Linked DNA regions of Coturnix japonica. The protein of the gene in region 2 purifies or fractionates together with the protein of the main gene of each other region. This does not show direct contact. Links are inferred from orthologs where the notes say so. Each region holds a gene or a part of one and is shown on either strand. Other genes may lie near its edges.

Evidence for each region.
Region 1: the proteins of FBXO22 (region 2) and RBX1 purify together in Homo sapiens (affinity purification with mass spectrometry; 4 studies listed by BioGRID). This does not show direct contact. The link is inferred for Coturnix japonica from reciprocal best matches to the Homo sapiens genes FBXO22 and RBX1.
Region 3: the proteins of FBXO22 (region 2) and KDM4B purify together in Homo sapiens (affinity purification with western blotting; 3 studies listed by BioGRID, with this or other methods). This does not show direct contact. The link is inferred for Coturnix japonica from reciprocal best matches to the Homo sapiens genes FBXO22 and KDM4B.

Annotation. Positions count from the first base shown.
Region 1 is NC_029516.1:45,482,832-45,486,579, reverse strand, and holds the start of RBX1 (E3 ubiquitin-protein ligase RBX1), read left to right. Parts: upstream 1-1,182; 5' UTR 1,183-1,197; coding exon 1,198-1,326; intron 1,327-2,127; coding exon 2,128-2,206; intron 2,207-3,748. UniProt on the Homo sapiens protein: E3 ubiquitin ligase component of multiple cullin-RING-based E3 ubiquitin-protein ligase (CRLs) complexes which mediate the ubiquitination and subsequent proteasomal degradation of target proteins, including proteins involved in cell cycle progression, signal transduction, transcription and transcription-coupled nucleotide excision repair.
Region 2 is NC_029525.1:2,728,813-2,732,560, forward strand, and holds the start of FBXO22 (F-box only protein 22), read right to left. Parts: upstream 2,546-3,748; 5' UTR 2,446-2,545; coding exon 2,330-2,445; intron 2,250-2,329; coding exon 2,117-2,249; intron 2,026-2,116; coding exon 1,938-2,025; intron 1,731-1,937; coding exon 1,635-1,730; intron 1,050-1,634; coding exon 885-1,049; intron 1-884. Other genes in the region: UBE2Q2 (ubiquitin-conjugating enzyme E2 Q2), read right to left, coding at 3,598-3,629. UniProt on the Homo sapiens protein: Substrate-recognition component of the SCF (SKP1-CUL1-F-box protein)-type E3 ubiquitin ligase complex that is implicated in the control of various cellular processes such as cell cycle control, transcriptional regulation, DNA damage repair, and apoptosis.
Region 3 is NC_029543.1:3,820,718-3,824,365, reverse strand, and holds part of KDM4B (lysine-specific demethylase 4B), read left to right. Parts: intron 1-630; coding exon 631-748; intron 749-3,639; coding exon 3,640-3,648. UniProt on the Homo sapiens protein: Histone demethylase that specifically demethylates 'Lys-9' of histone H3, thereby playing a role in histone code. Does not demethylate histone H3 'Lys-4', H3 'Lys-27', H3 'Lys-36' nor H4 'Lys-20'.

The DNA.
Region 1 (3,748 bases), on a different chromosome or scaffold from region 2:
GCAACTCGTTCCTCTCTCTGAATCTCATCTGTTCATCTTAGTCAGATTATGGGGAGCGGGAGGCTTCATTTCTCACCTGAGGTTTTAGTAACAGATTGAAAAAACAATGGCACTACATGGGAATATAATGTGACCATCATCTAGAAAACACACAGAGGCAGAGGGATTGGGTTCATGCAGAAACCAACCATGATCTGGGCCAAAAAACTATGGGATATATTGCTTAATCTACCCCTCTGGCTCTGTTCTTAGAATTCAAATTTTCTCTGAGCACTCCAGATCAGCTGGGGATGCTACAGAGTATTGAAGTTCCATGATATTCATGAACTCTGAGAAGTTTTGTGGCAATGTGGAAAGACGGTAAATGAGGTACCATTTGTGATGCTGTCTGTCTGGACACTCACAACAGCAAAGGCAAACTTAGCCAAATCAATTACTTTTAGTGGCATCAGCAATGGAGGGCAGCCAGCCAGCCCTACAGTTCTTTAAGGAGTTATAAAATGCACTTCATTTTTATAACCTCTGTACAATAAAGTATTGCTCTAAAAAGTGTTTCGGAGCACATGAATTCCTGCTTTCTTTCAGAACATTTTCATTCCTGAGTGCATCCTGAGCGCCCCAGAGACATCCCACACCACTGGGGTAGCACTGAGGCTGATATGGTACAAAGGATATGCAGCTCAGCTCAGCCCACCTGAGGGGCTGGGAAGGGAGCAAGGGCTGAAGAGCAAGGCAACCTCCTCCCTTAAAAAGGCTCTGCCGGGGACGGAGGGGTGTGTGTGGGGGGGGGGGGGGGGGGGTAAGGGCAGGCCCTGGCGGAAGCCCCGCCTACACCTTCCGCTCACACCTCCCTGCGGCCCCTTCCGCCGCGCATGCGCACAGAGCGGAACGGCCTATTCACGCATCCAAAATGGCGGCTGCGATGGATGTGGACACCCCCAGCGGCACCAACAGCGGCGCCGGCAAGAAGCGCTTCGAAGTGAAGAAAGTGAGACCTGCTGGCGTGGCGCGCTCTACCCGGCCGGTCCCAGCGGGAGGAGGGAGGTCGGGAGCGGCCAGGTGGCCGCGAGCGGGTCGGGGCGCTGAGCCGCTTTCCGCGCCCCCTCACGGAGCCGGGCGTTGCTTCCGCACCGGCACCGCCGTATGAGGGGAGGGGGGGGCGGTGCTTGCGGAGTCTATTGGCGTGTGTCGGGGCCAATGGGTGAGACGGGTCTCCGCGCGTGGAACGGAGGTTGGCCAATCAGAGGGCGCGACCACGCGGGGAGGAGGAGGGAGAGAGGCGAGGCGGGGCTAGTTCTGGCTGGGCCCCGCCGCCCAGAGCCGAGGGTAATGCCGGGCTTAGGGGCGAGTCGGTGCGCTGCTGTTGCCTCCTCAGTCCCGGCTGCTTTGGCTCAGTTGTCTTAGTGGCCCTACGTGATGTGAAGGGAGCTTTGCACGCATTTGTGTGGCTGCTTCTTTTTGTATTCTTCACAAATCAACTCGTAGGTGACCAACAAATGCTGTCTTGTCATCCCGGTTTGCTTTGCTTCCCCCAAACAACCATAATATCCCTCTTTGGCCTAACAACCATAATATCCCTCTTTGACCTACCCTCTCCAGTGTGGCTGCGAGCTGAATGGTGGTGAAAGATCCCAAGTTCACTTCAACGAGGCCCGGAGGTGGTTAGGAGCACTTTGTGGGAGCACTTTTGATATTGTATATTTTTTGCAATGAAAATGATTCAGGAGTCGCTGAGGGGCAAAGTTAGAGGTGATTCTGGTTGTTGGCCCCAGCTGCTCTGAGGGATGATTACTGGGAAAACAGCTACAAACAAGAGAAGTTCCAAACTGAGGATGTGGCGTGAGATGCATTCTTGCCTCCAGATTATGAATTGAAATGCAGATGTTTGCATTTGTATGGCAAAAAAAAGAGAGTGGGACTAGTATCAATTGTTTCTGAGACTGGAAGGAGGCACTGAGTGTGAGAGGTATCTGAGAAAGAATTACTCTGGTGCTGTAAGGTGTGTGTCTTTTAATATCCTAACCTTATCATTTCAGAAAGAAAGAGGATCTTGAGGAATAATGAGGATTTCCATGTGTTATATGTTGAATAAAATTTATGTTTCTCTTTTTTCCCCCCTCACTCTAGTGGAATGCAGTAGCTCTGTGGGCGTGGGACATTGTGGTTGATAACTGTGCCATCTGCAGAAACCATATTATGGATCTATGTAAGTAAATGATGGGGAAGCGTGCTTACAGTTTTGACATGTACAAGATTCACAGTTGAAATTTCCACTGCTCAGGGTGCATTTCAGCAAATCTGGTTTTCAGTTCAGAATGAAGTCTTTCGGTAACACTATAAACTCTGTTCTATGTAGTGCTCAAGTTCTGCTTTCTGTGTCTGACTGACCAGAAAAGATTCAGGCCACTGAATTTTTGACTCCTCATTCTGCCAAAGCTACTTTGCCTAAATTAGGGTTATAGTGTGGGGAATTCTGTGGCCAGCTAGAGAATCCGTTTGTTATCTATGAAGAGAATAATCTAATGCCTAAACCAACACCAAGCATTGCTAGTACTAATTCACCTTTTTTTTCCCCCCTGTATGGTCCCAACAGTCCTGTTAACAAATACACTTACTATTTAGGAAAACAAAGTGGTAGTAGGAGTAAGTATAAAAAATTCTACTGTGAAATAGGTATCCATATATAAAGTCACCGGCTTTGGTCTAATTGAGGATTGGCAATAAGAACAGAGCCATTTTTTTTTCCCCTCAAATCTTTGGCAATATATGGTTGGCACCGTAACTGTCCATGTTCTTTCAATGATAAGATACAGAACACCTTTTAACATCCCCCAGATAGGAAGTCACCTGTACTACTAAAATGGGAGGATTGTGGTACCTCAAAAAGCAAGACCTTCAGTACCTGACAAGGGCTAGTCATGATTTCTTTGTGGTCGCTTTGTTTCACTTTCTTCTTAGTAGCCCTTGCAAGTACAGCTGATGGTAACTTACTGTTAGTGAGCCAATGTGATAATATAAAAGAGCAGGGGAAAAGAAAAAGAGGCTGTGCAGTGTACCATGCAGGGCTGAAAGGGGATTAAGCAAGCTGACTTCTTTGCTTTGAGTCAGATGTGTTCTATTTTGAGCCAGCTGCTGCCTGTCCATCGCTCACTTTATTCTTGATCATTAGAAGAGGAATGGTAGCACTAAAGGCAAGCAGGTGAGAGGAGTGGTTGTGACATGTGCTGAGGACCTCTGACATAGTGCTTTACAGTTAAGAATTGAGGTTGGGTGGAATTGAAAGAATATAGACGTGTTAGGAAGAACTTCAAAGGAAGAGAGCACAGGTAACTTAGTTTTTGTTTTGTTTTGCTTTTTGAGTTGCTCAAGCATAACACCTTATTAGTTAGGGCATAATCAATGCTATCAAAAGCCCAAACTGCAAATGATGGACCAAAATTGACAGTATACAGAGTAGAAGCGGTATCTAAATTGGTGTTCTGAGTTCAGCCTTGGCTCTGGATTTACTTACTTCCTTGTTAACGATCATTAATGATGTTAAGCAACATCTTAATTAGATTTTCAAACCGAAGATGTGAAGTGATGGGAAATAGAGAAAAAATTACTAGATTGTGCAGGGAAGAACAACACAAGATTCAGTTTGATAAAGTGCAGGGCAGGAATGTCTCCCTCTCCCACTGATGAGGAGAAACCTTAAAAGGGAAAACATTACAATGGTGATAAGTAACACCAGCCACGCTAATGGAAG
Region 2 (3,748 bases):
CCTTAAATAACACCTAATGCCTCCAGCAACGGCTTCCTGTTGTTGCAAGTGAAAAACTAGACACAGGGCAGCCATGTATTCATGAGCTGGGCTGCATTCCCTACACACATGAGAATTTCATTAAAGAACAGAGATGAAAAGTAGATGTAGCTGCTTCCTCTTGCTTTCAGCTTCTTTCCCAGAGCATTTGCGTTTTATCATGGCACACTTCTTGGGTTTTACTTCACTGTCCTAATTATCCTTTTACAGATTCAAACTGAGCACACACGTTGTTCAATGAGAACCACAGTGGAGTAAACAGCTTTACTTAGAAAATTAAAAACCATTAAGATGTGTGCATCAGCCTGTTCCCATCCCAAGAAAGAAACTTCCAGGTTCCAGGAAGACTCTCAGAGCTCTCAGATCACTCTTCATAAACACAACATGAAGAACGTAAACTGTTATTATTAAGACAGATAATTTTTCTTTATACCTTTCCTTGCTACAACACCCAACTTCATATCTAAAAACAAAAATACTTTGTTAAGGAAAAGCAGCAACTCCTTCCCACTCCCTTCTAAACAGTGATGGCCAAAATAATTCCCTGTGGCACAAAACTCATTTTAATCAATTACTGGGTTGCTTCAAACCCACTAGCTCCCCTTTAGCAGCTCTGCTTGCAGCATGAATGAAGAAGTTTGAGACAAACTCAGGATAATAACCTCAGTGCTCCCAAGAATGGGTGGAACAGAGATGGGTGGTTACCAGAGCAGCCCTGCAGAGCCTCAGTGCTCTGTGAACACAGCACAGGAGCTGCTGGTCCCACATGCAGTTTCACGCTGGATCCTCAAAGAGCAGCCAAACACTCGACAAAAGCCCAGATTGAAGGCAGAACAAGGACATACCTGCTTCAGCAAATTTGTTTTCATCAATGACCCTATTCTTTACTTCTTTAGGAAAATGGAAGGTTTGGATTTTAACCCCATCAATTTTGGGAAACAAAAGAGCAAACCCAGCTTCACCATCTTCAATTTCTTGAGGCTGATTGCTGCTTGAACCCATAGGGGTAACTACAAAGACACAAACAAAGAAAGATTAGTGATTGACACTTGTGTCTGGCTAAAAGAGGTAGAACAGCATGTGCAATTTACAATGTGACAGCTCATTCCCATCACAACACATCTAACTGATAACTGGTGTGAATGTTTTTTTGCTGTTGTTGTGAAAGATGAAAGGTGTAACAGCTCCATTGTCCACAAACGATGCTAAAGTCACTTTGCATGAGAAGACAGACATATACACTAATTTTCCTTACTCTAAGTACTCAAACAGCCATAGGCACAGAATCAAATGTTCACGGCTATTAACTTCACACAGGTGTTTATGCAGCCCTGTACTCCTTCATGCTATAGGCCTGTTCTTATTAGTCACGGCTGCAGTGACAGAGACTGGAAGCAAACACCAAGCAAACACCTAGAAAATGTTTTAACACATAAACGCTTTTGCTGCCGAGAAGCACGGCACGAGCTATGCCTTGAAAACACAGAAACAAGGAAGAAGGTTTCCTCTTAGTATACTGCAGGATGAGAACGGAAGGTGAGAAGACAGGCACGAACACGCTACTAAGGAGCGCAGCACTGCAAGGAGGCTCCTACCTACGATCCCCGGGGTGAGCAGTCCAAGGACCTGACATCGCTTTGGCAACAGTTTCTCGATCGCAAGGGCTGTTTCTTTGCTGTTTCTTTTCCTGGCTATTGAAAAGGAAACAAAAACGGCGCGGAGGAGCTGAAGCGATCATTGCAAAGCTGACAGGAACACGAAGCCCCGGCCGGTCCCTTCTGGCGCCACGGCCGCTACCGACGCCATTGCCCCGTTTAGTGCCGCGAGCCGTGGCCGCGCTTCGTTCCCCGCTGGCCTCATCTCGCTCCTCCCGCCGGTCCCCGCCCGTCCCGCGGTACCTTTCTTGTGCTCGTGACACTCCTCGTGCCCGCTGAACGTCTCGGCGTCGGCGATGTACAGCACGGTGTGCGGCAGGACGTGCACCCTCTGCAAGGACACGCGCGGCGCGGGCTCGTCACGCCGCCCCGGTACCGGCCCCGCCCGGCAGGAACGAACCGGGCCCCGCCCCCCGACGCACCTGGAGCTCCGTGTGCAGGGCGCGGAGCAGCGCGTGTCCGCCGGGCGGGCCGGGCTCCAGCGCCGACACCCAACTGAGCCGCTGCCGCGTGCGCAGGATCCGCCGCGCGCACTCCCTCCACAGGCGGCACACGCTGCAACACAGCGCCCGGCCCGTCACCTCAACAACGGCGCACACACCTCCGCCCGACCCCCCCCTTACCCCGTCTCTTACCAGGCGGCCCGGAGCAGCGCTTTGGTGGGCAGGAAGCCGAGCACGCGCTCCACCACCTCGGCCAGGTTCCCGAGCACGAGGCCGCCCTTCCCCGGCCCGTCCATGTCCGTGTCCATGGCCACACGCTGCTCAGCGCCACACCCGACACCCACCGAGCACGGCGGGACGCGCTTCCGCTTCCGGCGACGGCACTTCCGCCCGCATCCCTTCCGGCCCCGCCCCGGAAGCGGCTCGTACAGCGGGTGTCAAACGGCTTTATTGGCACCTCGGTGCAGGTTCACACACACACACACACAGCACGGCACGGGGCGGCTCGGACGGGCGGGACGGGCCGGGCCGGGCCCACCAAGGGATGGGGGCAGCGCTGGGCCCGGCCCCGTCCGACGCTGCGGCTCGTCCCGTCGCACGTCCACGCTCGCTGTCGCCCCGTCGTGCCGCACTCGCTTTATCAGTTCGTTAGTTGACAAATGATTGCAACAACCCGTCAATTAATGGATCGCCTACAGACGTGGGCTTTTGTTGGTTATTGTAGGGATTGCAATGACTCGGAGCCTCGGCCGTGCAGCTGCAGCCCATGGGCTGTGCTGTGCTGCAGGCACAACGCCTGCACTGCTGGAGGGGAAGCAGAGCAAAAGCATCGGGCCGTGAGCATCTCTCCCAAGAAATAGTTCGTATTCTCATACAGCCATGAAAATGTTTAATGACGTAACGTACATGTGCTTGTCCTATATCAGTAATTTGGAAGTACTACAAACGCTGCCATTTTAGACCGGAGGGAAAAAAAACAAACAAAACTACTGTGATTCGCAAGGTCTGACATTTCCTATAACAGTATTAAACAACATAGTCAACCTCCTGGCTTTAAATGAAACAACACAACTCAAGTCTCGGCGCTCTGCATCCTGCGAAAGGTAAGAAATGCACTGAAGTGTGTGACCGAGCCCTGCTGAATGCTCCAGTGCAGCATTACACCTCCAGAGTAAAAAAGGGGAGAAGGGAGGGAGTGGCCCAAATACGCTTCATCCATGAAGAACAAATACAGCAAAGGCCCAGACTGCTCAGTCCAAGATGCCTAAGATGAGCGGAATGGTAAGGCTGCAACTTATACTTGACGTGTCAGTTGACAGATTATCCACTAACTTATCTAATAGCTAAAGTCTTCAGTACGGCTGTTATAGGGGCACTCATAGCTCGAGTCTCTGTGTTGGAAAACATTAAAAAGAGCTCTTTTTGTTGGCATTGGTCCAGGTATACAACAGTCCTCGGTATTAACCGTCTTCTTTTGGAGGAGTGTACCAGCCTATGGAGAACAGAGAAATGCATTAGGCGCTGCCCTGGCTCCGCTCAAAGGAGCTTACCAGCTGCCTTCTGAATGGGTGGCAGAAATGTCAGCTGAGTAACTCTGGCTCCTGACAGCAT
Region 3 (3,648 bases), on a different chromosome or scaffold from region 2:
CCTTCAGCACTGCTGCTCGTCTTCATGTCTGTGATTAAAAACAAAAACAAAACAAAACAACAACAACAACAAAAAACCATGTGGCGCTGTCTGTTTGTGGTACAAAGTAGCTTACATGTGATGTGTTTAGTACCTTTCACCAAAGAGGGCTGTGAGCTGCTATGATCAGCATACATGCAGTATTTGCAATGCTGGGTGGTGCATAGGACATTAGATACGGTACAATATAAACATATTTGTCATAAAATGCACTGTAATGTTTTAGTAAAGTATTTAGTAAAGTATTTCTGGTCCTATGTGCCCTGTGCATGATTTTAGTAATAGATTTTCCAACTGCTTTTGGGAATGACCAGACTTCTTGTGAGCCAATGGATCTGGCAGATTTGAAGCTTTTCTGAGCTGTTCTTAAGAAAATGCTGCCTGACATATTAAGAAGATAGCATTGGCTTTACCTACTGCAATAATTGGCGTGGAAAGCTCTGTTGATTCCATCCAAAAGACAATGAAAAGCCAGAAAGACTGTAAATTCAATAACCCTTTATGACAATAATTCTGCCTGTTGTCCCAATCTCTCCTTTGCTTTCCAAGACATTTTGGGGTTCCCATCTAACTTGTTCTGATTTGTTACAGACTGCTGCTTTTTCAAAAATGAAGATGGAGATAAAGAAAAGTCGTCGTCACCCATTAGGCAAACCACCAACCCGCTCCCCGTTGTCAGTGGTTAAACAGGAGACCTCGAGTGATGAGGGTGAGTGCAGTGGCACGAAGAATGCCTGTATGTCCTGTCTAATGTGAAAAATTGCTGCAGCCTGTAAACAAAGCTGGATGGCCTGAAAATTTTTGTGTTATGCTGAACTGGTAGGAAATATAGCATGTTCCCATTTATTCCCATAACCCCCCATTATTGCCATAACCCAGCCAGAGACAAAATATATCTGTGGGAGATGTCCCTTCTCACCTCCCATCCTTTATTCTATCAAGAAAAATATTTTCCTGGATAGGTAATGAGGTAACGTTTGGAGAAAAGGAAGTAAGTGTTCACAGAAAATAACCACATGAAAGCTGCCTCTTTGCTGCATTGCAGTGAGTTCTCTGCACCTCAGATGGAGGTGGAGATTGAGGTTAGACCCGCTGTGATGTATACAGGAAAGGTTAATTCTAACTTTTTGCTGGGCTTTTTGAGTCATACAAATGTTGTGGTCCAACTTTTTGTACTCTTGCTTCTGTTGTAGCTTCAGTAATTTGTCGCTTCTGGGTCCTATAAAGTACTCAAGATATAGAAGACTCCATAATAAACTGTTTCACACTTGCAGGTACATGAAGGTGTAGCTGCCAGACCCAGCTTTCAAGAAAATAAAAACTTTACATTCAAAAGGAAATAACAGAATATATTTCCTGTTCACTCCCCTTTTTTGGAAAGGATACTTGTTGATTTTAGAGGAGTTTTCTGTTTGGCAATGGAAGGTGTTGCACAAGCATCTGTCTACATCCTTTCTAGGGATGATGCATTTGATAGCCTGCGTATGTGTAATGTCAAGTGAAATGAAAAAACGTTTGAGACTAATTATCTTGTTTTGGTGTGAAGACCTTGCAACAAACTTTATGCTGGAGGATCCTCATTAGATGGATTCTTTTCACTGTTTTCACTTGTTGGATAGTGTATGGGGACTTTCCTGGCTGACTCAGGAGCAGCTTTCTTTGAAGGCTGGCGTTTCTTGGGGACTGATTTACAGCACTACTGGGCAAAAGATGATCAAACGGATTCTTCTCTTCCCTGCCAGGGAGTAGCAGCTCTCTGTGCGCCTTGCTTTTTCAGGGCTAATATATAAGGGTGATCTGGAGGCTGCAGCAAGGAAAAGTGAACATATAAATTAAAGGAACACAGTATTCTGCTCTAGGATTCATTTGAGACAAATTGCTAGTCTTTTCTCTGTGTGTGTAACTTCTTATTGAGGCATAGGAGGCATCATGAATTTTGAGTCTCACCTAGACTTAGTCCTAGGATGAGCAAAGGCAATGATCACATACAACAGTAATGACTGTTCTTTTTTCTCTGGCTGTCAGTATGGGTTTTGTTGCTGGTTTCCAGTCAGCTTTCATTGATTTAACTGGTAACATAAATCCTTTCTTGTCTCCTTATGTGCTTTGATTAAAATTTGGAGAACATATGCTTTGGTTTTGGCTTGTGTCTCAAAAATTCCTTGAAGGTACTTGATTTTTTTTAAGTGGTGAGTGTTGAGCTGTGCTTTGAAAGTAAGACACTGAGAATATCAATCTGCATACCCAAGGTCACTGATCGTTTTAATTCCTGCTGCATCCTACACAAGATGTGGACTAAGTGTGTTTAGCTGAAGTTACCACTGCATGACACATCCTTGTATATCTGTAAGGTCCAAAACAGAAATAAAATGTTTCAAGAAAGCAAGGATGCTTTAGAAAATTATTTTTGTTGAAGTGTGACAAAGCTAAAACTGTTCATAATCTCAGAAGAAGATTGATTGAGCACAATCCCACATTGTCTGACAAATAACTTTCAGGTTTGTTCGAGGGAACATTCAGAACCTTGACTGTGAACATGTCTGTGTTTTCCTGACAGTTCCTCTTATCTTTTCCAATTGGGTAAAAGTTTGAAAGTGTTAAAAGGGATGTAGAAGTGGAGAGAAGAGCATTAAATACCTCTTTCCAGTAATTAATGGTGAAGCAGTGAACAATGTGGTTTCAGTCACTGAGTTCTGAAGATAAAGCTCCACTGAGATGTTTTTGAGTCCTTCTGATCAAAGGTGTTCTTTGGGTGCTTTGCAGATTGATGCTGTGAGCAGTTTACATTTAGTCTTGCACTGAACATTTCTTAAATGCTTATCGTGACTCAGAACTCCTTAGTAATGAGTGGTAAGAAACTTGGATCCTCAGACTGGCACGAATGGATTCTGTGGTGGTTTAATTGTAAAATGCCAAGGGTTTTTTAAAAACAAAGAATTAGCAAACTAATTAGCATGAGTGGTGCCTATTGGAGCTCTGGCAGAAGAAAGTGTGGTGATGAATGTAAATTGAAGGCTCAGTGATGCGCACTTGATGGAAGTAGCTGTCAAGTAGTTGCAGAAAGGTAAAATGAAAATTTGAACTGTGTGCATCTCATGGCCAGCACTTGTGTTTGTAGAAACAGGTACAGGATGCACTTTGTGAAGGTTGAAATGGACTTGCTGCTGACAGCTGGGAATTGGGAGTTAGCCTAACCAAGCCAGCATGCACTGTATGCACAGCTATCTGAACACAGCTCCCAGTTGGAGAAAGTAAAGGGAGATTTCCCTGCACTTGCATTATGTATTTTGAATTGGGCTTCATTAAAGGATGCTGTTGGTTTCCAGGGTTAGAACAGTGGAGAGAGCAATAGATATTGATTGCTGCTGCTTCTTCCTCATGGATGATATTATCAGGTCATCATTCTCTGCTCTATCTGTCCAACCCATACAGTGGAAATTATATCAATTTAAGGAAGAATTTAAGACATACATGAAGAAGCATGAATGAGTTAAATGTTCCCATTTATTCAACTTGTGTTTTTGAAATATTAACTTTTTACTGTGCTATGGTTTGCCTCTACTAAAGACTGTTCATTATTTTGGAACTTTTTCTTTCTAGAAACATTTC